5 linked regions of the Ovis aries genome follow. The main gene of each other region encodes a partner of the protein of the gene in region 4 in a complex. Links are inferred from orthologs where the notes say so. Each region holds a gene or a part of one and is shown on either strand. Other genes may lie near its edges.

Region 1 (5,249 bases), on a different chromosome or scaffold from region 4:
CCACCCAGAAATCAAACCCTCATCTCCTGCCTTGGCAGGAGGATTCTTCACCACTGAGCCACCAAGGAATCCCACAGTCTAGAAGCAACAACTGAAGGAATGGGGCTGAGCACAGCCCAGAGACAAGGCGTAGAAGGGGGCTTGTGTGTCTGTTCAGCGACCCCACCAGAGTGCGGGGTGGATGGCTGAAAGTGCCAGCGGCCCAGGATATTCCGTGACTGATGGAGGCACCATTCTCAGCCCTGGAAGGCAAGGGGGCCCAACCCAGAGAGTTTAAAAAAAAGCTTGCATCCAAGCTCATCTGAGTGACTGCAGGACCACGAAGACAAACAGGAAACTGTGAAAGTAGCCGGAGAGAGCAGACAGGCAACCCACAAGGAGCAGTGTGAGCCAGACACCAACCGCTTCACAGTGAAGGAAGCAGAAGACAGCGGGGCAAGGTCTTCCGTGTCGAGAGGAAGAGCCCACCAGCCCAGAGCCGCAGGCCCAGCGGGACTGTGGCCGCGGGGCTGGGGTGGGTGGGAAGAGAGAAATAACCTGGGAAAGCTTGACCCGTGAGACCTTCTCCAAAGGAAACTGTAGGAGCTTCAGGCAGGACGACAGCCCGGGCAGCTGTCTGTTGAGCAAGACGGAGGTGTCAGTGCAGGAAAGCCCGAATCAACAGGAACTCCAGGAGACAGTAACAACGATGCCACGTCAGTGAAAGTCAAGAAGGAGGCAGAGTGAGGGCCGCGAGCCCTCAGTCAGGGGCGACAGGGAATTCGGCCGGGCCCTGGAGCGGGGGCTGCCTGTACTGCAAATAAACATGGGGAACGCTGGCTGCAGTGCACTTGTGAGGAGCAAGTACTTTGTGATCGGTTTAGCCCGCGTGCTGGGCGGCTCTGTGGCAGACACCCGGCGTGCCCTGTGGCCGTCAGGCAGGTGGGCCGTGTGCGCCTCCCCACTCCACCTGCGGCAGGGACTTCAGGGAGAGCTCGGAGCAGAGATGCTCACACCCTCTGTCTACCTTTTCTCTGATCATTGGAAGAAAACCCTGAAGGGCAGATGTGCTTGTCGCTCAGTTGTGTCTGACTCTTTGTGACGCCCTGGACCATAACCCGCCAGGCCTCTCTGTCCATGGGATTTCCCAGGCAAGAATACTGGACTGGGTTGCCATTTCCTCCTTCAAGGGATCTTCCTGACCCAGGGATCAAACCCACATCTGCTGCTTGGCAGGCGGATTCTTTACCGCTGAGCCACCAGGGAGGCCCAAAGTGGGGATATTCAAGCCCTGTCTATAAAACCCTTGTTGACAAGTGTGATGAAACTGATGTTTCCGAAAAGTCATCATCCCTTCCCCTGACGCTGTGCCGTGCATCCAGCGGTGGAGCCCATGCTGCCACCCCTCTGCGCCAGCTGCCTCTGGACACCAGCTAGTGTCCTGCCCACACGGGCACCCACGAACGTACCCGAGAGCCTCCTAGGGGAAACACCTTAAGGAAAATAAGTTTACTTCTGTGAAAACATTTATGTAATGCCACAACCACCTCTGGCTTTTTCAAGCTGTCTTCTCTGTTAGCACGTGCACGTGAGGAAGACACTGATCTGGACGTCCCATCTGAACACGCACGGGGATTCTATGATCCGGACGTCCCATCTGAACACGCACGGGGATTCTATGATCCAGACGTCCCATCCAAACATGCACAGGGACTCTACTGATGGCCTCGAACTCACCGTGTATTCTTCTTTCATCCCCAGCTCGATCCTCTCCCAGAAAAGGTCTTACAGCAGAGACCCAACGCCAACGCCGTGCGGTCGATGGAGAAGGTCATTGAAATCCACAGTAAGTTGCCTGGCCCAGGGCTCAGCAAGGAGACCCCCCCCAAGGGAGGGGCCCGACTCCACAGCCCTTCTCCCACCCCCCATACCGCCCCCACCCCCTGCTTCTCTCTCACTGCCAGCAGCGTCCCCAGGCCCGCCTGTTGAGACCTGGCTTTCAGGGCGAATGTGATGAGCTGGTGACTCTCCTCTCACCCCGCTTGACGTCCCAACAACCTGCCACAGCCAAGTCACCAGCTCTGCTTTGTGGGGCAGAAGCGCTGTGGTTCAGGGGGTGTGTGAGGTCCCTTCTCCAGGCTCCCCACTGACAGGCTGGGACCCGCATGGAAGCCTGTGTCCTCGGGTCTGGCCTCTGCCCTTGGACCAGCAAACCCCACTCCATCAGTTCAGGGTACCCTTGGCCCAAAGACCAGCCCTGCCCCTCGAGCGATGGGGCCCAGGAGCCCAGGGGCTGCACACGGACTTCTGCCCCGCCTTTATCCTGGGTCTGCGGGGTGGCCCAGTCGCCAGTGTCCGTGTCCATGGGCGGGACCCAGGGTCTCCTGCTGTGCACTGAGCTCCTGGCCTCCTGAATGAGGAGCCCTGAGGCCCAGGAGACACCGGGAGGCTGCCTGCTCCCACCCCCATCATCTCGGGACTCCAGCAGGGAGTCAGGGAGTGCTCGTCCCAGCCGCCCCACCCTGAGGGAGGGACCCTCCCTGGAGCCCACCCCCACCCAGGTGTCCTGCCCCTGAAGGGCCCAGTTCTCCTGGTCACGGGGAAGCTTTTCCAGACTGCCACCCTCTGTGAGTTTCTAACCAGGCCACCTCGTGGCTTCTGTCTCTGGAGAGCGTGGTGCTTTGGAGTCACCAGCGATGGGTGCTGCTGGAGCCCCGTGGGCCCAAGCACAGGGATGGGGTCCCGTATCTGAGCAGTCACCCGCCCCTTCCGCAGGCCAGTACTGGCGCTCCCTGCAGAGGCTCGCCTCCACCGCTGGCTACTCCCTGGTCGAGGCCCAGAAGTGTGAGAACGAGGAAGCCGAGACTGTCACTGCCATGGCCTCGCTGTCTGTGGCCGTGAAGGCCCCTGAGAAGAGGTGAGCACGGACACTGGCCGGCGGTGGGTGCTGCCGCCATCTGCGGGTGACCCGGGTCTTTGCTCCCGGGTGTATTGGGGGCACGTGCTAGCTCAGCAGGGCGGGGAGTGGGTGAGCTCAGCAGGGCCTCACCCTCGCCCCAGGGCAGACTGCACCACACCTCTTCCCAGAAGCAAGAGCCTGAGAAAGACTTGAAGGGCGTCTGGGCCAGAAGGAACACTTCCCTAGGGGAAGAGTGGGGGTCGCTGAGAGTTGAGGGGGCGGGGGTGGCTAGGAGTCGGGGCGGGGTAGCTAGGAGATGGGGGTGGAGGTGGCTCGGGGTTGGGGGCGGGGATGCCTCGGAGTTGGGGGGCAGAGATAGCTAGGAACCTTGCACATCCACCCTCTCCTCTGTTGCCACCCCGCCCGCCCGCCCGCCCCAGCAGACCCGACGAGGAGCCCATGGAAGAGGAGCCGCCTCTGTAGCCGCTCCCGCAGCTGCGGGTCTCTTGTTTGTCTGTCTCCGTCTTGAAGCTCCGCCGAGAAAAGTTGCTGCCGCCCTGCGTCCTGCCGGCCTCCTCCGAGCCCGCGGGCGCGGCGGGGCGAGCCGCAGCCGGCGGCCCTCTGCCTGCCGGACCCGGGCAGACGTCGGGACGCGCCGACACACGGACGTGCGGGAGCGGGCGCTCCGGGCCCCGCAGGGCAGCCGCGGAGGGAGGGAGCCCGCGGGGGCTCGGGGCAGAGCCGCCTGCCGAGCGAGCCGACCCGAGGAAAAGAAAATGAAAATCAAAGATCTCACGACACAAAACAAACTTGATTAAAACTGGTGCTTACGGTTTGGTGATTCCCCACAATCCCACAGTCTCCGTGTAAACCACTCAACTCATTCTGTAGCTTATTTCTTTTCAGAGAAGAGTCAGCCGCTCCGGCGCTGGCCTGCCCCTGCGCACCGCGGGTGCGCGGTGGGGCTGGGACACGGAGCGGGCGAGCGTTTAAGGAAAAAAAAAAAACTGGACAAAAGCAGAAATGTGAGCCCGTGCGGCTTTGGTTTCTCAAAGCCGACGGAAGATGCGCGTTTGTGCCTTTTTTTTTTATTGCTCTGATGGATTTTTGTGGCTGGGTTTTCCGAAGTCCGAGGAACAATGCCTTAAGAAAAATAAACAGCAGGAGTCGGTGGGACCGCTCCCTGTGGCCGGTGGGGCCGGAGGCCGGCTCGCACTGGCCTGGCGCTTCACAAGTGGTCCCCGCCTCGGCCAGCAGCTCTGGAGGGCTGAGGTCCTGCCACCCTGTTTCGCTTTATTGCTGTTGAAGAAAAATGGAGGTAGTTCCAAAATAGTGGCAAATACTGTTGGGGGTTTCGAAGTCCAACAAATTTTAAATGAATCCAAAGTGTTCTTTTTCTCGTACATCATATAACAATTGAGCATCTCCATTTGGTTGTGAAGCATGTCCTAGGCACACTTTCAGTGTTACGATCGGAATGCTTTTTATTAAAAGCAAGTAGCATGAAGTATTGCTTAAAATTTTAGGTATAAATAAATATATATATGTATAATATATATTCCAATGTATTCCAAGCTAAGAAACTTGATTCTTATGAAATCTTGATAAAATATTTATAATGCATTTATAGAAAAAGTATATATATATAAAATAAATGCAGATTGTAAAGGTCCCTGGCGAATGAACGGCTTGTGACTCAGCTCTCAAGGTGCTTGTGGAAAGGGATCTAGTTTGAAGCTCATGTTATTTCTGAACTCCAGATTGGAGAGCTTTCAATCACAGGTTCGCCATGGGACACCTGCCCTGCAAGATTGTACCTTCATCTTAATTATTTTCTGACCTGACCCCTCCCCACTCCAAGCCTCCATGCACATGTGTACCTGATAAGTTTTTATAGCAAAGGATATCAATTTGCTGTTGATTTTGTATGAATTTTTTCACAAAAAGATCCGGAATAAGCATTGTTTTGTGAATTTTACATTTTTTCTCACCATTTAGCAGTTTTCTGAATGGTAATAACGTCAACCTTTTTCCTTTCTAAACTTTTGCTTGTACATTTTTTTAACTTTGGAAGGTATTTTTTTTATTATTATTATTATTATTTTCATTTTGTTTATTTTTGTACAGTGAGCACAGAGTTTATTTTCAGAGTGAGCGCGGAGCGTGCAGCGGGGTCTGAGGTCTGCCCACCTGGGCCTGCCTGTGGCTGCACACAGAGCGTGGAGCCTTCCTTTGCCGCCCGTGCTTTCTGGGCAGGGGGCACCCTCGCAGCGCTGAGCTGAGGGGCTTGCCAGCCACCATGGGCCATCAGTATCCATGAAACTCACGTGTAGACGTCTCTGACCACGTGGTCAGGATAGCATTTTTCACT
Region 2 (5,691 bases), on a different chromosome or scaffold from region 4:
CCGAGGCAGCTGCTGCCTACACTTAACACCCCTGCCCATTTGAAACACGTACAAAGTGTTGAATGGAGCCGACAGTTTTGTTATGAGACAAGTTTTGTTTCTGCTTCTCGAAGAAGCAAGTTTTCACTTAAAAGAAAAAGCCAGCTTCCTACCAACCCTTCACAAATTTATAGAAGTGTACAAAAATACAGATTCAAAAATAAAAACTACTACGCTTTAGAGGGAACTTACTTTCCACAAAAAGCTCTTTATTCTAGAACTTACATTTCCAAATGTGAAGAAATTTTATTTTCCACTCTAACAGCCCTTGAAAGTTAGAATGGCCCTTACATGTAAATTACACACAGTGTTTGGTATGTTCCACTTGTTTTTTTAATCCTGGGAGAAACGTCAAGCCAAATGAGACTGTAATTATAAAAATCCATTTGTTCTCAACACCTAACTGCAAAATGATTTCAAAGTCTGATAAGTTGTCAAAACTTAGGATACGCATGTTGTCAATATTCATGTGGTAGGTGGTCCAAATTCAGCACAAAAATATGCTGCCCAAAGAAGTCTATACCTGTTGTGATGGTACTTTCTTGGGCTGAAGGTTAGAGGCTATTATCAGAATTTTGTTGAAATCTGTACCACTGTATAAAAACGGTATTGGTTCAGACCAAAAATATAGCATTTCCTAATGAAAAGACTAGAGATAATAAAAGAAAAGGGTGTATAAAAGGGAAAAGAAGAAGAAACAGTTACATTAACAGTTATAAAGTTATATTAACAAGAAAAATATACTGACATTTAGCACCTGATTATATGCCTTCAAAATGGTGAAAGACAACGATGGATCAGTGATAAAACTTACTCATATGGCAAAAAGTATTTCTCGACACAAAATAATAAAAGATGATACGGTTCCACAGCCAAACTCAGTCATCCACTTTGAAAAGTCGCAATTCACAACTGAAACCAAACACAGAGTCTCCTAGACATTTCACTGCCGTATCCTGAAATCCAGCCATCAGAGGAAATTCAAGGAAAACAACCCCAATTCAGAATACAAGGAGCCTGTCCTCTGAAAAAAAAATGAAGCACGTGGCTAGTGATTAGTAGTGAAAGAAAGCTAACTGATGAAACTTCGCATCCCATGACAAACTGTGAAAGCTGCAGTCATCATTTGCCTGGTGGAGTTAGCAGCTGTCTGTCTGTACTCCATTTCACTGAAAGGGAGAGAGCAAGAACACAGGAGCAATGAAGGCCAAAATCTGTTGCTGGGCTTCTGTTTCCACAGCTGGAGGCTGGGCACTTAACTATTCTATATACAGCAGCACAGCTTAGACACTCAAGTGGGCAGTGTTAAATTGCAGGGGTGTGCAACCTGACCATTAACAAGTCCCCCATCAGTTTCCCCTGGCCTTGGCCCTACAGGCCAATCTGCTTCAAAACACATTTCCTCCCAGCCCACAACTGTGGTTACCTCTGTTCACTCTTACTTAGTGGGACCAAAAGAAAAAAAAAAAAAAACAACCAACCCACAAAGACAATACATTATACAACCAGGGCCAGCCCTGTACAGCTAAAAGGTCATTAGGAAGAATGTGTCCAACCTGACATATGCTTAATTATGAAGAAACCAGACACGTTTAACCTGCGATTCTCTCACCTGGATTAGAACGGATTATTTTTTAAATGCCAGCGTTGTCACAGCCTGTATCTGCAAGCAGTTTTTTAACACATTTCCAATGTCAACATGCTGGGGCACGGCACATTAACTCAAAAAGTAACGACATCTTAAAAATTCTTTTTTTGAGAAGGGAGGGAAACGAGGGGGAAAGGGTTGTCCAGATTTTTCAAAACAGAGTTATGTGACTTTGAAGACCTAAGGCTACGATATTTTCTAAAATCGGCTAACTAGTTTCATGGACTTCTACCAAAGGCGGGACCACAAATCGTGGACCCAGAACCGGCCAAACACACTCAGTTACTCTGGCCCGAAGCAGGGAAAGTCCCAGAAGGGAGGAGGATGTTGTTTATTTTAATTCTGCTGCAGAATACGCCTGCTGGGCTAGAATCGGCCCCTTCCTCCTGCGGACACACGGCATCACAGGCTCACTTACCGGGGCGCCAGCTCCCGTGGAAGCCGGGCCGGCCGCGGCGGCGTCCTCCTCGGGACTCTGGGGGGCTTCCTCGGGCCCCCGAGTCACGAGGATTCTGAAGTGCTGCTGCCCCGCGTTTTGATCCTGCCTGATCTTAAACGTGCAGCCCTGGCCTTGTGGCGACCTCTCGGCCGCCGCATCGGTCCTGTGGGCATCGGGAGCCACCCTGCGGCCCCGCGGCGGCGCCTCCGGGTCTGGGTGGCCGTGCTCCTCCGGAGGACTCCCGCGCTCGGCCCGGGGCTGCGTGGGGTACGAGCTGCTCCTCTCCAGCCGGATTCGGGGATACCTCACCAACCTGTCCCCCTTGGTGCCGGTGAAGCCAAAGTTGAAGTCGCCGCCCGGTGCGGGCCCGCAGCCACCGGCTGGCGGCTGCTGCAGCTGGAAGACAAAACAGCGCTTCCCGGAGCTTCCAGAAGCGTCTGGAACGTGCTGCAGGGACCAGCGCCTGGGCTCGGGTGCTGCCGCCGCGGGGCCAGCCTGGCCCTCAGCCCCCGAGGGCGTCAGCTTCACCGGGCGCACATCGGCGCTGGACGCGCGGTGTTGGATGCGCACGGCTGGCGGCTCGGCCTCCTCGCGGCCGTCAGGGCCCGGCGCTCGGCGGCGGCCGCACGTGCCATTGAGCTGCGGGCCCGGAGCTCCGGGCCCCGCGGGAGGGGAGCCATCGCCGCTGCCGTCGTCGAGGCTCTTGGCCTCGGGGGGCTCCCCCAGCGGCTCCGTGCCCGCGTCGCCGTCGTCGGGGGCGCCGTCAGCCGCCTTGCGCTGCAGCGAGATCTGCACGGACGAGCTCCGCGTGGGCCGCGCGTCCACGGGGCCCAGCAGCTGCGGAATGAACATGGACGTGCTGCGCTTGAGCGCGCCCACGCCTCCCCGCAGGCCCGCGTCCTGCGCTCCGCTCGGGGCCAGCGCAACCGCGCCGCCCCGCCGCGGGAGCGTGTGGAATGCCATGAAAAAGTCGTCTTCTCCCTCCTGGTCTAGGATCTCCGACTCGGGGGCTGTGTTGCTGCGGCAGGAGCCAAAATGAAACCGAAGCCGATGGGCCATGGTGCCCAGAGGGCCAGGGAGGGACAGGGCGAGCAGCAACAACAGGCCCGGCGCTGCCAGCAGTCAAACCCCAAAGACACGAACTCCAAGGAAAAGCGTTCCATCTGCCAAAGCGTGAGCACTGCGGCACCAAGGGCGGCAGATAGCAGAAATAACCCAAGTGGCAAGCGGCATTCCAGGCATGATTGGATAAGAGCAGAAAGCTCTCATCCGCACTGTGACAGAGGGTAGGGTGGCCGGAACCACATGACCGCGGTCTCCCTCTCCAATGCCAGCTTCTGGACTTAGTGGAGTTTTCTTCCCCTTCTCGCTCTCATTTTTTTTTAAACAGCAAGAGCCTGAAACAGCACCTTCCCAGCTGCTGCTTTTCCATCAGACAGGAGTGGCCCCAGCGGGGAGCTCTCACAGCTGACTAAGGCAGCAAACACAGTCCGAGCTGTGCGGCTATAAATCTCAGCGCAGCGCGCTCACCGGACAGTTCTTTCCAAACCGAGCTGGGCACCCGGGCGCTGTCTCACCGATGCGGAGCAACTGGCACCCACGGCAGAAGCACACAGAGGAGCCCCCCTTCCCATCGAACCCGACAGTGACAAGTGACACTGCAGGGGCTGCAGGAAAAGCCTCTCAGGAGCAATCGGATGTTACGCGCCCCGCTTACATATGATATCACCACACTACCACGATGGAATGCAAACTAATAAAACGTACTATAAATACGATTACACACCCCACAGAATGCGTGTCCCTTTAACGCTAAATAATTAGACCATGATCTACAAGTAACAAAATAGCTGAGTGGAGGGAGGGGGGCGAACAACTTACTGCCAGTTGGGGTCTGCCTCTGGCTACCACGACATGTGTTTTATTTGAAAGATGGGGAGGGCGGGGGACGCAATCTCACACATAATATGATTCTCAGATACGGCAGTGCCAGAGGAAAGAAACCCAGCTGGAGAAAACATTCCCCCCTGTATGCCAGATAGGAGAAAAACCAACATCCCCCCACTCAAAAAAAAAAAAAAAGGGAAAGACAGTTGGAGAAGCGTGTTGCTTGCGGCTTTTGTAATAAATGAACTTAAATACCATGCAGAAAAAAAGGCTGCCTGGAGCTGACTCTTTTCCAGTAAGAAGTCAGCAGGATCTCCCCAGTTGGGTTACAGACAGAGAATCTTGTTGCTTTTGAAGAGCCAGAAAGGACCTAAGTAATAAAAGTGAAAGTCCATGTTCAAAAAACTGTCATCGGACTTGTAGCTAATTTGGATATATTCTGTGTGCTTTAAACATACTCTTTTCTGTGAGCCAGAAACATCAGTTATTTTAAAAAAGAGGTTTATTTAGGAGGGAATAAAAAAAAATGATGGGGGGCAAAGGGGGAATACCAAGCTGCAAAGAGTGACAAAAAGTTTATTTTAAAATCTGCAAAGCATGATTCTGTCAACAGCTCTGGAGTCCAGGGTGTGGAGGATTAACCCTGCGTTTACATGCACTCAAACCTGTCTTCTAAAGGCATGGGTTTTAAATGCCAAAAATGATCTCTACGAGAGAAATGGAAGCCAGTTTGTTTAATGCGAAAACTGCCAAGCACCACTACAGTCACGTATTGTCTTAGCTGGATTAATACCCAACAAAGAAAAAAACCACCAGCAGCAGCATTCACTGCATAGTAACAACACTGCCGATGGCCTGGGGCAAAGCTCGGTATATAAAACACAAATTTTCAGATAAAATCTGCATTCACGTGGGATTTCTTAGAGCTTGGCATTCATTCAAAGCCCTTTTGGGCTGGAAACTCTAGTTTAGGGCTCATGGCAAGGCCATCTCCACAGTCATTCTTTTAGATACTGGAAACGAAAAACAAAAATTTTTACAGTGCATTTCCTTTAATAGAAGAAAAATAGTGAGTTAAAACCCACCTGCCAGGAGGCAAGTTTTCCACAGTGTTGACCCTCTCTTCACCTTCAAGTGCTATTATACTCAATAAATGAGAAAGGAAGAATTGGTCCGTGGCTGCATGTATATCTCCGGGGACTCACTGTTACTCACTGAACCTTTGCCGAATTCAGTGTTTTCTGGATAAGAGATGGAGTGCCAAGAACTGTACTCTCAAGCAGAATTTCTCATTGGATTTAACAAGAAAATAACTTCATACACAGAGCAAAAGTGATTTAGCGATCCAGTACTACCAAGTGTCACCTAAGGTATAAAATGTCAAGCTCGATGCAAAGCCACTGAAAATCTACATATTTTAATAGAAAAAGCTATCAGGATGGTGGGCCAACATCTGTTGATTTTCTAATATGGAGAGTAATACCAGGCAAAGGAGACCAAATATGCTCCCAAGTTCCACTCTAAGGGTTAAGGCTTGGCTATTCTCGGCCACTGGCTTCCCTGGTGGCTCGGCGGTAGAGACTCCACCTGCCAATGTAGGAGATGTGGGTTTGACCCCTGGGTTGAGAAGATTCCCTGGAGAAGGAAATGGCAACCCACTCCAGTATTCGTGCCTGAG
Region 3 (5,249 bases), on a different chromosome or scaffold from region 4:
GTGTGTGTGTGTGTGAGGTGTGTGGTGGTGTGTGTGTGTGTAGGTGTGTGTGGGTGAGGTGTGTGGTGGTGTGTGTGGGTGTGTGTATGTGTGTGGGGGTGTGGGGTGTGTGTGGGGTGTATGTAGGGGTGTGTGTGTGTAGGGGTGTGTGTGTGTAGGGGTGTGTGTGTGTAGGGGTGTGTGTGTAGGGGTGTGTGTGTGTAGGGGTGTGTGTGTGTAGGGGTGTGTGTGTGTAGGTGCACGTGTGGTGTGTGCAGGTGTGTGGGTGCAGGTGTGTGTGTGAGTGCGGGTATAGGTGTGTGTGTGTGTGTGGGTGTCTGTGTATGTGTGTGGGTGTGTGTGTGTGTGTGTGTGTGGGGTGTGGGGTGTGAGGTGTGGGGGTGTGCGCTCGTGCGTGGCTCAGTCAGTCCGACTCTGCCCCAAACCCCGCGCCTGTCCAGGCTACCCCGGAGCCCTGAGCAGAGTCCCGCGGGCCGTGCGCGCGCTGGGTTTTGGGGGGCGGCTCGCGGGGTCTGGTTCCCCGGCCAGGACGGAACCCGGGCGCCCCGCATCGCGAGCGCAGTCTCGGCTGCGGCGCCCCCAGGGACCCCCCCGGAAGTTGCATTTCACCCTGAAGCGCACGTGACCTGTGAAGCGCACGTGACCCGTGAAGCGCACGTGACTGCGCCCTTCGTGAAGCGCACGCGACACGCGAAGCGCAGGCGACCGCGCGCTTCCTCGGGTCGGGTTTGGCGGCGCTCATCATACACCCGCGGTCGAGCACTCGTCCCGGCGCCAGACTCCCAGAGCTTGGTAAGACCTCAGCAGCTTTCTGCGAAAGCTTGTTTCCAAGTGGAAAGCAAAGCAGTAACGCCCGGAAACCCGAGCGGCAGAAAGCGGGCAGCGCGGGACTCGCCTGAGAGTCTGCAGCGCGCAGTGCGGGTGCCTGAGGGCCGCGCCCGCCGCCCGCACGTCCTCCTCGCCCAGGCGGGAGCCCGCCAGGTCCAGGCGCGTGACGTTCCGGTTGACAAGCAGAGTCATCCAGAGGTGGCGGAGACCAGGGGTGACCCGGGCGCCGGTGAATCTGCAGACGAGAAAAGGGGGCTCGAGTTAGGACGAAGGGACAGGTTCCGTCGCGTCCTCGTCTTTCCTTCTCTGTTCCCGTTTTGACTCTGATCTTTCATTATTTGCGTTTACAGTTGCTCCTCACACAACACGGGTTTAAACTATATGAGTTCTTGTGTATGTGGGGCTTTTCTCAAGAAATAGAAAAACACGCATGAACACCATCGTATGCAAAACTGGTGTTGACGTGGGCCGCCTGTCCCTACACAGGAAGAAGGTGAGTGGCATTCAGTGTAAAACCAACGATGTGTTTGTTTTCTTACTATTTTAGAACTTTGCTTGGAAGAATTACATTGCTGTACAGAATGCTTTTCTCTCTTATAACCAGAGAAACAGTCTGTCAGCCAATCATTAAAGGTATGTGTTTTTTTTTTAGAATACAGCAATGTTTCCAATATTGTGTTATGATTGTGACCGTAATATGGACGCCATGAGAAGTGTGTAATGACTCATTCATCAGGGCCACGGTGTTGTTCTTGCAGCTTAGTTGCAAAGTCATGTCTGACTCTTTTCGACTCTATGTACTGTAGCCCCCCGGGCTCCTCTGTCCATGGGATTCTCCAGGCAAGAATACTGGAGTGGGTTGCCATTTCCTTCTCCAGGGGATCTTTCCTACCCAGGAATCCATAAAGCAACGTTATTGATGCTTCTTCATTATCAATGTGTACATCATTATATGTGTAAATACAGTAATGATTTTTTTACATTGTATTTTCATTTTTGATGTCCAGTGTTACATGTATGTATAGACACATACGTAGGTTAAACGTATAACATCTAAAGTGTTTTCTATCACAGCATTGATGGAGGTACTGACACATGATTCATCAGACAGACAATGTAAACTTATGGTGTCAATGAATACAGTACTGAAATGAACCTTCCTCACTACCTCCCCTGCTAACCAACTCCTATTCATCCTTCAAAACCCTGAGTAAATGAACCCACCTTAGTAATCCCTTCACAAGATCCTTAGTCATTCCCCACCTGTACTTTTGGGAACTTGGTTCCTGCACCTTCCACAGCCCTTATTCCCTGCAAATACGTTCTAAAGATCAGTAGGTAGGAGAGGAGAACTGTGACACAGCCACACACAGAGGGAGGTACGGGGTCTGGGAAGCCTCACATCAGATTCTGTATTTTACAGGCTGGCTGCCGCAGCTTGACACAGAGGGTCTTCATGGCCTCCTTGCTCAAGACGCTGCCACTCAGGTCGAGCTCTCGTAGGTTTGGGTGCGTGCCGAGCACGGAGCAGAGGTCTTCCCAGTGCTCATCAAGGGTCTTGATCTTCAGCCTATTGCGGAGAAGGAAACAAACATTTGTTCACACAGGATGGATTCGACATGAGCAACTGCGCGATCCATGCCTGAGGAGAGCAGTCAGGCTGTTAGGATGGGGAGGGTCTCAGAGGCTCTGAGTGGATCTGATCTCATGGTCTGGAGAAGTAGTGTCATAACCAAACTGCCTCCAGAACACTTCTGTACCCACAGGGCATACCGCCAGCTCTAAGTAAGATCTGTGCTTGAATTCTAGCTGCCTCTTGAACGTCAAAGTGTAGCCGCTATGGAAAACGGTATGGAACGTCCCTCCCCCAAAATTGAAAATAGAACTACCATTTGTTGTTGTCCAGTCGCCAAGTCATGTCCGACTGTGACTCCATGGATTGGAGCACGCCAGCCTTCCCTGTCCTGCGCTGTTTCCCAGAGTTTGCCCAAGTTTGTGTCCACTGAATCGGTGATGCCATCCAGCCATCTCATCCTCTCCCGTATGATCCGGAAACCCCACTTTTGTGGGTGTGTCCAAGAGAATTGGAATCAGGGTCCCAGAGAAGCATTTGTACATTATTCACCACAGTCAAGATGCAGAAACAACCTAAGTGTCCATCAGTGGGTAAAGAAACTGGCATGTGTGCCCCAGCGTCCGCTGCAGCGCTGTTTACAACAGGCAGGACGTGGGAGCAGCCTAGATGTCCACCGGTAGCGGCGTGGATAAAGCAGCTGTGGCACATACTCACTCAGTGGGCTGTGACTCAGCCATGAGAAGGAATGAGGCTGAGTCAGTTCTAATGACGTAGATGAACCTAGAGCCTGTTATATACAGAGTGAAGTCAGAAAGATGAAAATAAATATTGCCTATTGACACATTATATGGGATCCAGAAAGGTGGTACTTATGCATTTACTTGGAGGGCAGGGGTGGAGACACAGACCTAGAGAGCCGACCTGTGGACACAGCGGGGGACGGAGAGGCTGGGATCAGCTGAGAGTAGCCTTGGAACATGTACGTTATCATGTGTAAAACAGATGGCGGATGGGAATTTGCCACATGACACCGGGAGCTCGGCTTGGTGCTCTGTGGTGACCTAGAGTGGGGGTCTAGGGGTGGGGGGAGGTTCAAGGGCGGGGGGACACGTGTATACCTGTGGCTGATCTGTGTGGATGTGTGGCAGAAACAACACTATGAAGCAGTTATCCTCCCACTAAACATAAACACTTAAAAAGAGAAAATGTGGTGTACACACACACAGCGGAACATGATTCAGGCCTGAAAAAGAGGGAGGCACTGCCATCGGCCACAGCAGCGGTGAGCCAGAGGACAGTGTGCCAAGCGAGATGAGCCAGTCACGGAGCAACGGGCCCGGTCTCACGTAGATTCTAAAGCAGCCAAGTTCACGGAAGCCGAGCGTGGAGCGGTGCTTGCCTGGGCCTTGGCGTGGGGAACTGGGAGATGTGGGCCAAAGGGTACAAAGTTGCAGTTATCAGGATGAGCGCATTCTGGAGCTCTAATGTGCTAACACGATGCAGACCCAGGGGGATAGTCTTTAGGTGTTTTCACACACAAAGAAAATGGTAACTATATGAGGCATGGGTGTGCTGACTAGCTTGATGGTGATTATTTCAGGTACATCAAAACACCAAATCATACACCTTACATGCGTGCAATTTTGCTCAGTTATACCTCTCTTGTGTTGGAAAGAAACACAAGAATGGGAATGGCAGAGGTGGGGCACTCACCCTTGGGGAGCCCCGGGCCATGCCTCAGCAGACTCATCCTTTGGCGTCTCTCTGACATCCAGTCGAACTTTCCGTAAATGCTGGCAATGACGGAGACAGAAGGAGGACACCGTTAAGTCCATCGGCCGGTTCAACTGCAGCCACACTTCTTGGAAGCCATTCAAGGCCAAGCGAACAAACTCGTCGTCCTGTGTCTCGAAAAGGCAGTAGAAGGCCTCGAGCAAGTCTGAGGAGGCGGCGGGGGCGGCAGGGTGCTGACCCAGCAGGCAGATCCAGTGCAGAAGGCACTGCTTAGCCACGGGGGCGACGGGACAGCCTAGGAGGGTTTCCAGGGCCCGCGTCGCCTCCTTGCTCACAAGGCCAAACAGGAACCTCTTCATCTGGACCAGGTGGACGTTGAGGTCAACGTGCCTGAGCTCCATCAGGCTCTTTGTGCTCTGGGGAAACAGTGGGTAGCCCTCCCCGTCTCCCTCGACGCCTCGCAGGACGTAGAACAAGGCAGCAAAGAACTCCTGGAGGCTGAGGTGGGAGAACGCGTGGCCCCTTCCGCAGCGGCTGTCAGGGAGAAGGATGCTCGCCTGCTGCAGGGCGGAGAGCTCGGGCCCCTTCAGCCCGTGGACGCCCAGGTCGTCGCCGTCAAACACGAACTTCGCGTTCCACACGCCGTCCACGGCCAGCCGGCACAAGCCCTTCAGGGCACTGCGTTCCTCCCTGCTCAGCGCGCGCCGGCCTGCATCTTTGGGAGCCAGCCGCTGGAACACGAAGGCGGCGTACAAGCCCGTGAGGGTGTGGCCGGGGACAGGAAGGCCTTTCTCGGGCTCCCCGTGCAGCTCGAGGGCCTCACGGACAAGGGCACACACCACGGGCACCTGACACTTGTCAAGCACCTCCTGGTGGTCTGTGCCTGCGTGCCAGGCGCGTGTCTCCTGACGACCGTGCTTCCCGCCGCCGAGGAGCAACTGCACCCTGTTTTCCACCGAGAGGCCCCCTACCCAGAGGTAACGGGGAGACCGGAGCAGGGCTTGGAGCCTCTGCACGCCCGCGTCCTGGACGGTGAGGAGGAGGGCGCACTCGGGGAGCAGGACTTTCTTCAGCAGGCTGTGTGCCAGGACTGCCACGGGCTGCCTCTCCA
Region 4 (5,722 bases):
AGCTCTGGAACTTTTAAAATGGAAATACAAACCAAGCCAAAAGAAGTGCCCCCTCCTTTTTTTTTTTCAGTTTAGGCTGAAAAGGTTCAGATGTTAGAAAACAAAGACAAAGGGATACTGATTACCACTGGCTGAGAGTACTTCATTACTGACACATTCCTGAATCAGTAATCATGTGCTGAAATCCAGCCAGCTATGGCCAACCATGGTCACTTTTTAAAAATATCATTTTTCCCTTTTCTAGAGTGCTACTGAATAGTACACTTGAAAAGGGTTAGTTTATGCCCTGTGACTGTTACCTCAACAAAAAAGACTCAAATCATTTTCTCCACTCTTTTTGGTAATTTAACTAGAGTTTGGTTTAATAAATAAATAAGGCTTCCTCCAAGTACCAGAAGATGAAATCCTCCCAGGGTCTGCAGTTAATCTAATGAACTGTAATGAAGATGCACATTGAGCAACATCTTTTATCTCGATTAAAAAAAAACCCATATGAAATTGTTTAAATAATTAGAAGAGGCACTTAGCAGTCATTTAAGTTATCGGGAAGGTGAACACAAAAAGCCAACTGTTATCTGTATTCTTCCACTCCAAAGAGAACAATTGAAGCCACATGACTTCGATTATAATAATGGCTGGCAGAACTCCACAAAGAGGCTACAGAGGTGTCATTACTCCATTAGTGATAATGGCTATTGATCTAGCCTCCTGGAAGAGCTAGCAGAAAAAAACAGAATATTTAACATAGTTAAAAAAAATTTTTTTTAAGTATATAGATTCTGCTAGGAAGGCATTTTTACATAATTAGGATAGACTTTTGCCACTAATGCCCCTCTGCCGCCAACACACCATAAAATGTTTATCCCAGTAACTTCAACATTAGTTGCCTAGAACCTTTTCTCCCCAGCCCCTCCCAAGGCAAATACAAGTAGCTCAAGAGGCTGTTAAAATCCAAAGGACAAGTCAGTATTGTCTAACAAGTAGGAAATATCTAGGTGATCGCTTCTTTTTAGATACAAGCCTACACGTGTCTGAAAAGACTAAACTTCCTTCTTTCCTCTTTTTCAAAATACGTATTATTTCTATCTTGGTTGCACACCTATAACTATCACAGGTCCCGTTTATTACTAGGGTACCTTCACTAGATAGGAATAAATTTCACCACTCTAGCATCTGGATGAGTTCAACCTTAGAACTCACTTTAGTGGTAGGACTGAGTATTTTCTATCTTCCTGTATTTTCCAAATTCTGTGGTGACTTATATAAACAAAGAAACAAGGCTTAGTTACCTTTTTAAAGCATCTACATTTTTTATTTAATCCTCACAACTGTTTCAAGTAGGTGTTGACCCATTTTACAGATGAGAAAAGGAAGGTCAGACGTAAGACCAATTCCTCAAAATCACAGTGAACAGATTTGCTTGGAAAAATGTCTGCTTTATTTTATAAAACTGTTTTCCTTCCTCCATACTCCATTAAGGAGCATAAGCATAGCAAGAGAAGCTTTCCAAATCTCAAGCTGGTGTCTGTAGCAGATTCTCATTCCCTAACGTTTACTGAAAATGTCCCAGTAGGAAGTCATAATCTTTTTTAAGGTTTCTATTAAAACTTGCCAAGTTAATAATCTGCAATAAACCCACATATACCCCTACACTATGAGTATAAAACATATTCTTGTTTTAAAATTTTCCATCTCTAGTCCTTCAATGCCCAAGGTTATTATTGAGATGAATGTTTAAAAACATGACTGTATCTTATAAACTTTCAAGAAAATTGGAAATAGGAAAGGTGAACAGGCATATCCAGAGATCCCTGGTGTGCCTGTGTCAGGATAAAGGACATTCTTCTTTGGGGGACCAATTCTCCTCTGGCGGAAGAGGAAGTGCTCAATTCCACCTGGCTTATCTGCTAATTTCTGCATTACCCTGGACAAATGCCATTTGCATACTCCCTACCAGCCCTGAGGTGCATTGCAGCCTCTGTGTCATTGTGTGTGACATCACTGGGTTGCTATGGATATAGGTGCGAGGTCACTCGCTTTCCTGTGAAACTAGAAATATGGAAAAATTAGAAGAGTCTAAATAACGCGATAAATGATATTGATATCCACTGAAGTGCAACTTATCATTTGCACCTTATAAAGACAGCGACTGTGACAGTATATTAATACAGCAGTACTCCCAATTTCAGAACCAATCCTCTTCCTTAATGAGATAATCTTCTCTGCTAATGTAGCTGGTTTAAATGTAAAGGCATCAGCCTTGTCATCTCCTGTGAACCAGTAGAGTTATTCGAGAATTAATTAATCTGTAATGCCTATACCGCCTCATTAAAGAGGTTTCATGTGCAAGGTACACTCCTGTATCCGCTGCACACTGGAGATGCATTTTAAAACCTTTGTTACATAAGGCAGGAAGTTAGATATTAAAATAGTGAGACTGAAATCATTAGATATATATGTTTCATTTAGTAATGCTCAATATGTCCCCCTCTAATATCAAACCGGTTGACCGCCCATCAGATAAATGTAGCATTACTGACAAAGTGGTGCAATACAGGCAGGAATCTGCAAAATGCGACAACTGGAGATCAGTATTCTCTTTTCATCAGCATTGAAGATGCGCTAGCTTTTTTTTTTTTAAGCTTCAGATGTGTCTAACAAAACAAATTAAAACAAAAAAAAAAGACTTTTTCCCCTTTAAAATAACTCCTCCCCAGCCTCCACCCAGTCTAGGCTCTCTGCAATATGACAAATGCAGAATCTTCTGGAATGACTTGATACTGCCTCCCACCACCGCTTTGTTTGCAATATCAGATCAGAGAGAATATTTTTTTCAACTTAAAGGAATTTCAACAGATGTGTGCCTGTATTTAAAAAAGAAACAGCATATGTCACAAATTGAACCAGTCGGCTAAATTCACAACCTTTATTTTAGAGACAATACCTACCCTTTCAGTACGAGCACAGTAAGAAAAAAAATGGAGATGACATATTGAGAACAATCAATGAAAACGCTAGCGAGACAAACGTGCCCCCCTTCCTAAAGGCAAGAAGAGGGCTTGCTTTGGGGAATGGAGAGAGGGGAGCCTTTTGTTAAGAAAAACGTGAGCATGGAGGTTTCGATTTTGCACCATTGAGTCCAGATTTTCAGGAGACCCTTCATTTTTTCTCGAGGAGGTTCTAAAGGATCTGTCTGCAGAAGGTAGTGGGAACATTTGGGGAGTGGGGTGGGTGGGCGGGGGGGGGGGGGTATTAGAAAACCCGGAGACCTGCTGAGTGAATGGGAAAGGCGCCGCCCAGACATCAGGGAGAAAAGAGGAACCGCATCCATGCGGTCCCCCGCCCCCACACGCCCAGGCTGTGGGAGGAGGGGGAAGTGGGGCACAAAGGATGCGCACGGCCCCCCGCTCAGGTCCCCAAGCCGACCCGAAGGCGCGGCGGCCAGAGACCCCGCTCCCGAGACCGGCCCCGAAAAGACCCCGCCCCAGCCTGGGCGCGCGGGGAGGGCCGAGGCGGCCGGGCCGCCGGCCCTAGGGGACGCTCGGGGAGAGGCCGCGTCACACACCTGGTCCTCAGCGTTGTCGGGACCCTCCCCGGCCCCCTCAGGGGCATCCAGACCTGCAGTCGCCGACGGGCGACTAGTCCCCGGGCAGAGCCCGCGAAGGCCCGCGGCCGCGAAGGGGCTGGGGCGAGGCGGAGGGGGAGGGGAGGGGAGGGGAAACTCACGTTCTTCATGGCAGCGGCCATGTCGTCGTAGCGCTCCGCCTGCTCCGCCAGCCGGGCTTTCTGCACCAGTTGCTCGCGGTCCACCATCTTCACGGGCTGGGTCGGGCCGGACGAGGATGATCCGGGACGGCCTGGAGGGCTCGGAGGGCGGCTGCGACGCGGCTGGAGCCCGTGTGCTGGAGGGACCGACCCACACGAGACGTGAGCGGCTCGAGGCGACGGGCGCGGAGGCTGCGACTCGAGCTGCGACCGCGGGACCGGGCGCGAGGCGGCTGCGGCGGCTGTGCGTGCGGCGGGCGGACAACCCCCTGCGGCCCCGCCCACGCCGCGTGACGCAGACGGCCCCGCCCACCAGCCCGCGCAAGGCCCCCGCCCCGGCCCCGCCCCGGCCCCTTCCGCTTCTCGGGTTTCCGCTCCCCGGCTCAGCTCGCTACCGCCTCCCGGGTATCCCCTTCTTCCCCGGTGCCCCTCGACAAGCCCCGTGCTTCACTTCATCCGGCTCGCTGCGCCCTAGCTTCTCCAGACGGTCCCCCACCCACCCTGGACCTGCAGACCCCAACCCTGCCAGGCCCCCGACTCGTGGGCCCCTGGGAGTTGTAGTTCTCCCTGGGATGGGGTAATATGTTGGGGAGATCAAGGACAAAGGGGCGGTCAAGACTACATCTCCCAGTGGTCATAGCGGGACAGATGAAGGAGGATTGAGGAGGTGGTGTGGGGCGGGTTGGGGAGGTCTAATTCCGCGGCTACTGGGGACCCCTGGCGGGGACTAAGGCTGCCCGAGTCCGAGCGAGTGCTGATTCACGGCCCCGCCCCATATTCTCCGGGAAATTACTGGGGGAGGGGGGCCAGGACCTCAGCCCTAGACCTTGTTTCCGAGATAAAACAGCAGGCCCCCGGGAGACTGGGAAGATGGGACGCATTCACTACTGATCCAAACTGTCTGGGTGGTACTCACCTCAGAGATGGTTGAATTAAAAGAGCCAAACCTTGGGGGGACTGCCACCCTCCCCCACAAGGTTCCGTCTCTCCTTCCCCGCCTCGAGGTTCTTGGACCTGACAGGTGGAAATGTGGAAAGACAAATACTGGCCAGGCATTCTGGTTAATACACGGAAAGGATGCAGCTGTTTGCAGCCTGACCCCTGGGGAGCCCTTTCTTCCTCTCCAGGGTGGAGCGTTACCAGAGCCAATGGATGCTTACCACTGAGTTCTGTCTGGGGGTTGACCAACACTTCTCTCCCCGCGTAGGATATACACGATGGGGTCAGGCTGACTAATTCTTGCTTACATGCTTCCCTTTTTTGACATTCCATGTAGCTCACATACCCCAAAGTTTTGAGTGCACATTTTATTTATTTGGTACTTATCTACTGAGCACCTGCTATGTTCCAAGCACTGTTCTAAGCAATGCGGTACACCAGTGATCAACAACACAAAATTCTGCCCAAGAAAATAGGCTAAATAATGTGTAGAGTACGTTAGAAAATTATAACTAGTTAAAAAAAATTAATGGGCACGAAGTGTTGTGTATGAGAACTGAGAAAGAGGGAATTTCTGTGAAGGAATAGTCCAGGCTCTATGCTGAGCACTGGAGGAAGATAGCATGGAACCCTGCCCTCAAAGAATTCAGAATGTGTTAAGCACTGTTGTTTTGTTTTTTAATTCTTTCATGCTAGATAGAAAAAGGTTTTTTCTGTTGTTGTTTGGTGGGTTGTTTTTTTTTTTTTTGGCCTGCTCCTAGGCAGCTTCCCAACCATGGATTGAACCCAGGCCCTGCACAGCAAGAGAACAGTCCTAACCATTGGACCCCCCAAGGAATTCCCAGGAAGAGGTTCTGAAGAGCTGGAAATATTTCCAACCCACTCCCTTAAAGATGTATAGGATTTAAAATAAATTAATTAATTAACGTGAAATGAAAAGCAAAAGAAAAAAAAAACTTTTTAAGAAAAGGAAAAGATCTGTAGAATTTGAAAGCAGGCAGAAGGGACAAGCAGGGGA
Region 5 (5,835 bases), on a different chromosome or scaffold from region 4:
AGACTCTTGAGAGTCCCCTGGACCTCAAGAGGATCAAACCAGTCAATCCTAAAGGAAATCAATCCTGACTATTCATTGGAAGGATTGATGCTGAAGCTGAAGCTCTAATACTTTGGCCACCTGATGCGAAGAACTGACTCACTGGAAAAGACCCTGATGCTGGGAAAGACTGAAGGCGGGAGAAGGGGACGACAGAGGATGAGATGGCTGGATGGCATCACCGACTCAATGGACATGGGTTTGAGTAAGCTCTGGGAGTTGGTGATGGACAGGGAAGCCTGGTGTGCTGCAGTCCATGGGGTCGCAAAGAGTCGGACACAACTGAGCGACTGAACTGAACACAACACTGTAAATCAGTATGTGCCTAGTCATTTAGTCACGACCAACTCTTTGCAACCCCATGGACTGTAGCCCACGAGGCTCCTCTGTCCGTAGGTTTTGCCAAGTAAGAATACTGGAGTGCATTGCCATTTCCTTCTCCAGAGGATCTTCCCCACCCAGGACTGAACTGGTTCTGAATTGGCAGGCAGGTTCCTAAGCACTAGTGCCACCTGGCAAGCCCCAATACTGGAGATTTTCTATACTCCAATACAAAATCAAAATTAAAGAGAATCTCAGACCTGCACTAAAAAGTGGAACTTTCTAAGACGATGGGAATGTTATAGATCTGCAGAGAGGCCAGTCGTCCCCAGCCAGGTGCGGCTACTGAGCGGTTGACATTGATTCAGCCTGTGACCCCAGAGGAACCGAGTTTGAAATTTTATCTTGTTTTAATTCATTTTCATTTAAATAACCGCAGGTAACCAGTGGATATCGTGGGAGACAAGACAGCCCCGGATAATAAACTGGTGTGTCCGGCTGACCCTCTACAACCACGGAGAGGAGTGGAGCACGCAGAGGGAGGCAATTAGCAGGCTGGACCATAAATAAAATACACTTCAATTATGGGCCAGTGGAGGGATGGTGGGCAAAAACCTGTATTTGAGGCTTATACATGGCAGCTCTCACTTTGTCCTCCACAAACAAGCCACAGAACCCAATTTGTGTGTTTACATCTTAACCGCTGGGGGCTACACGTCCTAGGATCAGAACCCTCAGTCACCCGTTTCCCTCCCACGTCTACCCGCTCTCCACGACAAAACTCGGACTTTGGTGGGGAAGGAGATTTCTCTGGTTTGTGTGAATCCCAAGCCTGCCTACCCCCGCGCCCCTTCACCACCACTCCCCAGGACGCCCCCTTCCCCACCCCAGTGCCTGTGGCCAGGTGCAAACACATGGGAGAATCAGCATTGTGTGAGTTTTGAACACAGCAGGGTTTAGGGCTACGGAGATTACAAGATTAGCTTCAATATAAACCAGATTTGGAGAAAAATAAGAACTGTGTCCGGGGGATGGATGCCTTCCTGAACTGGTGACCTCTGAGCTAGAGTTGAAGGTGAAGTATCCAGCGGGGGGAACAGCCCAGGAGGGAACAGCCAGGGCGAAGGTTCTGGGGAGGGTACAAACTTTACCTCTCACTCCCACACTCTGCACTGGCCACTTCCCATCTCAAGCAGGCCATTTCACACCAAAAACAGGACTCCTGAACCTCTCCACACACATCCCACCCTTATCTCTGAGGTCACCCTCAAACCTAGAGTAGAATTAAGCTTCCCTCCTTGGCCTTGAACCTGGAAAAGTGTACCAGTTCCAAGGCCTTCGCAGTTCCTGCCTTTGGTTCTCAGATTTCTCAGAGCCTCAGTCCCCGGGCTTGGAGGGCTGCTGGGAAATTTCGTTGATAAAATGCACAGCCCCAGGCTTGCCTCCTAGGAGGCTGGATAAAAGGGAGCCTTTGAATTTTCCCCAAGAAAGGGGACCGAAGCTTCGTTTGCATTACACGTTATTTAATACTGAGGAGAAGGTGTTTAGCCCGTATCTAAGGATCGAGTGAGAGTGCTTCCCTTCCCCGCCTCGCCCTCAGCCAGGAGCCGCTCCAGGGCAGGACGAAAAATTGACGTGGCTTCTCACAAAACAAGAATACACACCTCCCAGTCTCTCCTCAAGCTGCACCTTGTGACCCCAAGCCCCTTGCCTTAACTAAATATTCTCATCCCTGCCGGGACCCCAAATTGCTTACAACTCTGCACGCTGCCCTTCCCCACCTCGGGACCGCAAGGGTTAAGCGCAGGCGCCGGGCCCGCTGATTGACAGTCCTTCCGGCGGCTGAGGAGAGCCGACCAATCAGAGGCGGGAGTTGAGGCCCACGTGGGTAAGCGCCCTTACGATTGGTCAGCGCCGCCGGCGGCCGCCTGCGGAGCCCGATCCCACGTGCAGCTGCTGCTAGTTCATTGACCGGCTTCGTGGTGCAGGTGGCGGCGGGGCGGGGCCGGGGCGGGCAGGGGCGGGGGCGGGGCGGGGCGGGGCGGGGCGGGGCCGGGCCCGATGGGTCAATTGGCCTCCGGGGAGGGGGGGGTGCTTCCTGTCCGCCTGAACTTGGCTGACCCTGGCGGCTTCCTTCTGGGCCACCATCCTAAGAGAGGTGGATAGGCCTTTAGATCTCTTGGCAGACCCCAAAGTCCCTGGGCTGGGGAGGAGGCGGGAAGGGTGCTGAGGGGCAGAAGTAAAGGAGTTTAGTGCCGCAGAACTGATTAGGTCTCTTTCTTCTGAGAAATTTCTAATTCACCTAGCCAACTCTTATTCATCCTTCAAAACCCCTTTCCAAATGATGTTCTCCGGTGCTTTAGGAAATTGTCTCAAAACTAAATTTGAGCTTTGATATCTTTCTCTGGGGTTCCTCCAGCCCTGGCTGCTCCTAGAAGGAAGTGTATATGTTTGGCACCATACCCTGCGCCCCACCTCGTAGAGTGAAGTCCTAGGGGGCTCCCCACCAGGAATCAGCACATCTGGAAGCCCCAGAGAGAGGTGAATGAATGAACATCGGATGTAGAGAATGCAGTCGGGTGCTGGCAGTTAGGAGATTGGAGGCCCAGGACTCAGTCCTAGAGGGAAGATCAAGGTGGGCCAAGGGTGGGGTGGGGCTGGTTGTGTCTCTGTTCCTGATCAGCCTTCTGCGCTCAGGATCTGTCATCTCCTTGTTAATTTTAGAGTCCCTGGCTAAAGTCCTTGTTACTGCAGCCTGAAGAGTGACCTCTTGGGGTCATCTCAGCCCCCACGGGCACCCTCAAAACATGGTGAGGCATTACCCCTAGGGGAGGGGCGAGGAGGCAGCAGCTGGGCTCAAATCTCTCTCTCCTGCTCCTAAGGGAGAGACATGGGCTGGCTGGCCAGGCCTTTAAGCTGGGGATACTAAGCCATCATACTTTAAGGCACTTTCGTTTTAAAATTAAACATTTTATCACCCAGGTGATAAACACCTGGCTACATCATCTATTCAGTTAATATTTTACAAGTCCCTTCCCCTTTCCTGCCCCTGACCCCATTACTTCCCAGAGAAAACCACTTCTAACAGTTTAGGCCAGGGGCCGGCAAGCTTCCATAACAGGCCGGAAAGTAAATATTTTCAACTTTATGCCAAGAATCAAGATGGAAGATACTGTGTGGGTACTTAAGTAATAACAGAGAGAGAGCAAATGACCTTCAGGTCTCAGGAGGTCCCACCCTGCCCTCTCTGAGGCTGATGACCTGACAGCAAGTATGCTGGCAGTCTGTGGGTTTCATTCATCCCCCACTTTGACTTCTCCAGGCACATCCTGAGGCCAACCTTCCAGCCCGGAACTATCAGGACATCCTGGATCAGCTCAAGCAGCATTTCCCCAGGTGAGGACAATCCCCGGGGGCTAGAGGCACCACTGTGGCCTGAAGTCTCATAGGGGGAAAGAACCCAAACTTTGTCTCCATGGCCCAAAATGCAGGACCAGTGTGGGCAGCGACCATGTTGGAGGGTGAAGCAGAAGGAAAGGAAAGCCAGTAATACCAATCCTGGCTTTCATTTCAGTTTTTGACTGTGTATGGTTCAGTGTGAATTTGCTCACATTCAATTATATTTTATAAAATACTGCATTATTCGTTCGTCTTGACACTGCCTTCAGTGTGGCACGTGGAAGGGACTAGCTCCCTTAATGGAACTGCCCTGCTGGGGGACTGAGGGCAGGGTTCATTCTGGGGAAGGGTCTTGAGGCCTCAACTTCCAGCAGGTCTGTCTTCCCCACCAGGTTCCCCACTCACTTGACGACGCAGGTGGACCTCGCTTACGGCTTGGTGAGCCCCGCCCCCACCTGTCAGCCCGTCTGGAGCCACCTGGAAAGGCTGTTGTGTTTAGTCTCATAATCCGGGTTAGGGGACACCGCCTCTACTTTGCTTGCTTTAGGCAATGCAAAGAACCCACTGAGCCCCATCTTCGTGTGTTTTTCTTCTTTTAAATGGAATTCAGTCATAGACACTTTTATTTTTTATTTTTGGCTATGCTGGGTCTTTGTTGCTGCTCTCAGGCTTTCTTTAGTTGTGGCCAGTGGGGGCTACTCTTTGCAGAGCACAGGACTCGGTAGTTGTGGCTTTCAGGCTCAGAGCTGTGGCACCTGGGCTCAGATGCTCTGAGGCATGTGGGATCTTCCCTGGCCAGGAACTGAACCCATGTCTCCTGCACTGAACCACCACTGAACCACAAGGGAAGCCCATGTGAGTTTTTCTTAATTAATAAAAACCTTGCTGTGAAAACAAGCAATTCCATATTTAAATTAAGGAGATGTTTCTTCAGGCCACAGTTGGTCAGTTCAGCAGTTTATGTTCCAGTGTGTGCTGTCTTCTGGAACTTTCCATGATGTTAGGAATGTTCTCTATCAACAGGGTCTAGTATGGCACCCACCTGCCCCACGTGGCTACTGTGCTCCTATAAGGAACTGAATTTTTATTGATTTAAAGTTAAAGAGTCTTATTTGACTGGTGGTATCCTCATTGGACAAAGCAGCTCTAGGGGGAGGAGGGAGACAATATGTAACTAGAGAAGCAAGATTTCACGAAAATGTAAGTGCTTAAAAGAAAATAGAAGGGGTGAAATGAGTCACTGTTTTGAGCCCAGGTAGTCAGGAAGGGCTTCTTGGAGGAAGTGACGTGCTCAGCGAGACATCAAAGATAAGGAGTTTCTGTCACCCTAGAGAGAACAGGGAAGGTTGTTTCAGGCAGCAAGCATAGCATGTGCAGAGGCCCTGGGGAAGGACTGTGCCTGGTGTTGGAGAAACAGTGAGGAGGCCCATGTGGCTAGAGCAGTGAGTGAGGGGGAAAGAGGGAGGCGGAGAGGGCAGGGAGGGGGCAGGGCAGGTCACAGCCCCCTTTGGCCTTCTCTTCACATCTAGAATGACAGTCAGTTGTTGTTCAGTCGCTCAGTCGTGTCCGACTCTTTGCGACACCATGGACTGCAGCATGCCAGGCTTCCCTTGTTTTCCACTATCTCTGGAGCTTGCTCAAACTCATGTCCACTAAGTGGTGATGCCATCCAACCATCTCATCCTCTGTTGCCCACTTCTCCTCCTGCCCTCGATCTTTCCTGGTATCAAAGTCTTTTCCAATGAGTTGGCTCGTCGCATCAGGTGGCTAAAGTATTGTAGCTTCCGTTTCAGCATCAGTCCTTCCAACGAATATTCAGGGTTGATTTCCTTTGGTGTTGATTGGTTTGATCTCCTTGCAGTCCAAGGGACTCTCAAGAGTCTTCTTCAGAACCACAGTTTGAAAGCATAACAGCCAGGGGTCTCCCTAATTACCTCCCACTCTGAGTATGCTTGGCCGTATCCCATTTGATGAGAGCAGAGACCAGAGAGGTTTCACAACTTGTCCAGGGTCACACAGCTGGGGAGAGGGTCACACAGCTGGGGAGAGGGCCGCACAGCATTAAGTCTTGCACTC

Evidence for each region.
Region 1: the proteins of YWHAG (region 4) and HDAC4 are in contact, whole or in part, in a crystal structure (PDB 3UZD), measured with the Homo sapiens proteins. The link is inferred for Ovis aries from reciprocal best matches to the Homo sapiens genes YWHAG and HDAC4. Residues at the interface, in NP_036611.2 of Homo sapiens: Asn43, Leu44, Ser46, Val47, Lys50, Asn51, Arg57, Phe122, Lys125, Arg132, Tyr133, Gly174, Leu177, Asn178, Val181, Glu185, Leu221, Ile222, Leu225, Asn229, Trp233; in NP_001365345.1 of Homo sapiens: Ser348, Pro349, Ser350, Leu351, Pro352, Asn353, Ile354, Leu356.
Region 2: the proteins of YWHAG (region 4) and NEDD4L are in contact, whole or in part, in a crystal structure (PDB 6ZC9), measured with the Homo sapiens proteins. The link is inferred for Ovis aries from reciprocal best matches to the Homo sapiens genes YWHAG and NEDD4L. Residues at the interface, in NP_036611.2 of Homo sapiens: Lys50, Arg57, Arg61, Lys125, Arg132, Tyr133, Gly174, Leu177, Asn178, Val181, Tyr184, Glu185, Leu225, Asn229, Leu232, Trp233; in NP_001138439.1 of Homo sapiens: Pro444, Arg445, Ser446, Leu447, Ser448, Ser449, Pro450.
Region 3: the proteins of YWHAG (region 4) and NLRP5 are in contact, whole or in part, in a cryo-EM structure (PDB 8XI3), measured with the Mus musculus proteins. The link is inferred for Ovis aries from reciprocal best matches to the Homo sapiens genes YWHAG and NLRP5. Residues at the interface, in NP_061359.2 of Mus musculus: Phe201, Tyr216, Thr220, Met223, Gln224, Arg227, Asp228, Thr231, Ser235; in NP_035990.1 of Mus musculus: Ser1030, Cys1031, Ser1055, Gln1058, Cys1059, Pro1060, Val1061, Glu1084, Phe1087, Val1088, Lys1089.
Region 5: the proteins of YWHAG (region 4) and TLE6 are in contact, whole or in part, in a cryo-EM structure (PDB 8XI3), measured with the Mus musculus proteins. The link is inferred for Ovis aries from reciprocal best matches to the Homo sapiens genes YWHAG and TLE6. Residues at the interface, in NP_061359.2 of Mus musculus: Lys50, Arg57, Arg61, Lys125, Asp129, Arg132, Tyr133, Gly174, Leu177, Asn178, Val181, Glu185, Phe201, Asp202, Ile205, Ala206, Leu208, Asp209, Glu213, Tyr216, Lys217, Thr220, Leu221, Ile222, Met223, Gln224, Leu225, Arg227, Asp228, Asn229; in NP_444484.1 of Mus musculus: Phe137, Leu138, Ser139, Glu140, Ser141, Asp142, Leu144, Gln145, Leu295, Arg347, Asn430, Leu447, Gln470, Met472, Asn489, Asp510, Asn511, Thr512, Met530, Pro553, Arg555.

What each region holds. Positions count from the first base shown.
Region 1 is NC_056054.1:2,402,916-2,408,164, forward strand, and holds part of HDAC4 (histone deacetylase 4), read left to right. Parts: intron 1-1,740; coding exon 1,741-1,825; intron 1,826-2,754; coding exon 2,755-2,896; intron 2,897-3,318; coding exon 3,319-3,361; 3' UTR 3,362-5,249. UniProt on the Homo sapiens protein: Responsible for the deacetylation of lysine residues on the N-terminal part of the core histones (H2A, H2B, H3 and H4).
Region 2 is NC_056076.1:57,723,259-57,728,949, reverse strand, and holds the start of NEDD4L (E3 ubiquitin-protein ligase NEDD4-like), read right to left. Parts: upstream 3,311-5,691; 5' UTR 3,186-3,310; coding exon 2,106-3,185; intron 1-2,105. UniProt on the Homo sapiens protein: E3 ubiquitin-protein ligase that mediates the polyubiquitination of lysine and cysteine residues on target proteins and is thereby implicated in the regulation of various signaling pathways including autophagy, innate immunity or DNA repair.
Region 3 is NC_056067.1:64,169,555-64,174,803, reverse strand, and holds part of NLRP5 (NACHT, LRR and PYD domains-containing protein 5), read right to left. Parts: coding exon 4,118-5,249; intron 2,399-4,117; coding exon 2,231-2,398; intron 1,064-2,230; coding exon 896-1,063; intron 1-895. UniProt on the Homo sapiens protein: Component of the subcortical maternal complex (SCMC), a multiprotein complex that plays a key role in early embryonic development.
Region 4 is NC_056077.1:34,831,343-34,837,064, forward strand, and holds the start of YWHAG (14-3-3 protein gamma), read right to left. Parts: upstream 4,003-5,722; 5' UTR 3,814-4,002; coding exon 3,727-3,813; intron 1-3,726. UniProt on the Homo sapiens protein: Adapter protein implicated in the regulation of a large spectrum of both general and specialized signaling pathways. Binds to a large number of partners, usually by recognition of a phosphoserine or phosphothreonine motif.
Region 5 is NC_056058.1:18,578,067-18,583,901, reverse strand, and holds the start of TLE6 (transducin-like enhancer protein 6), read left to right. Parts: upstream 1-2,453; 5' UTR 2,454-2,995; intron 2,996-3,084; 5' UTR 3,085-3,167; coding exon 3,168-3,170; intron 3,171-3,408; exon of another isoform or gene 3,409-3,536; intron 3,537-3,682; coding exon 3,683-3,756; intron 3,757-4,151; coding exon 4,152-4,197; intron 4,198-5,027; exon of another isoform or gene 5,028-5,201; intron 5,202-5,835. UniProt on the Homo sapiens protein: Component of the subcortical maternal complex (SCMC), a multiprotein complex that plays a key role in early embryonic development.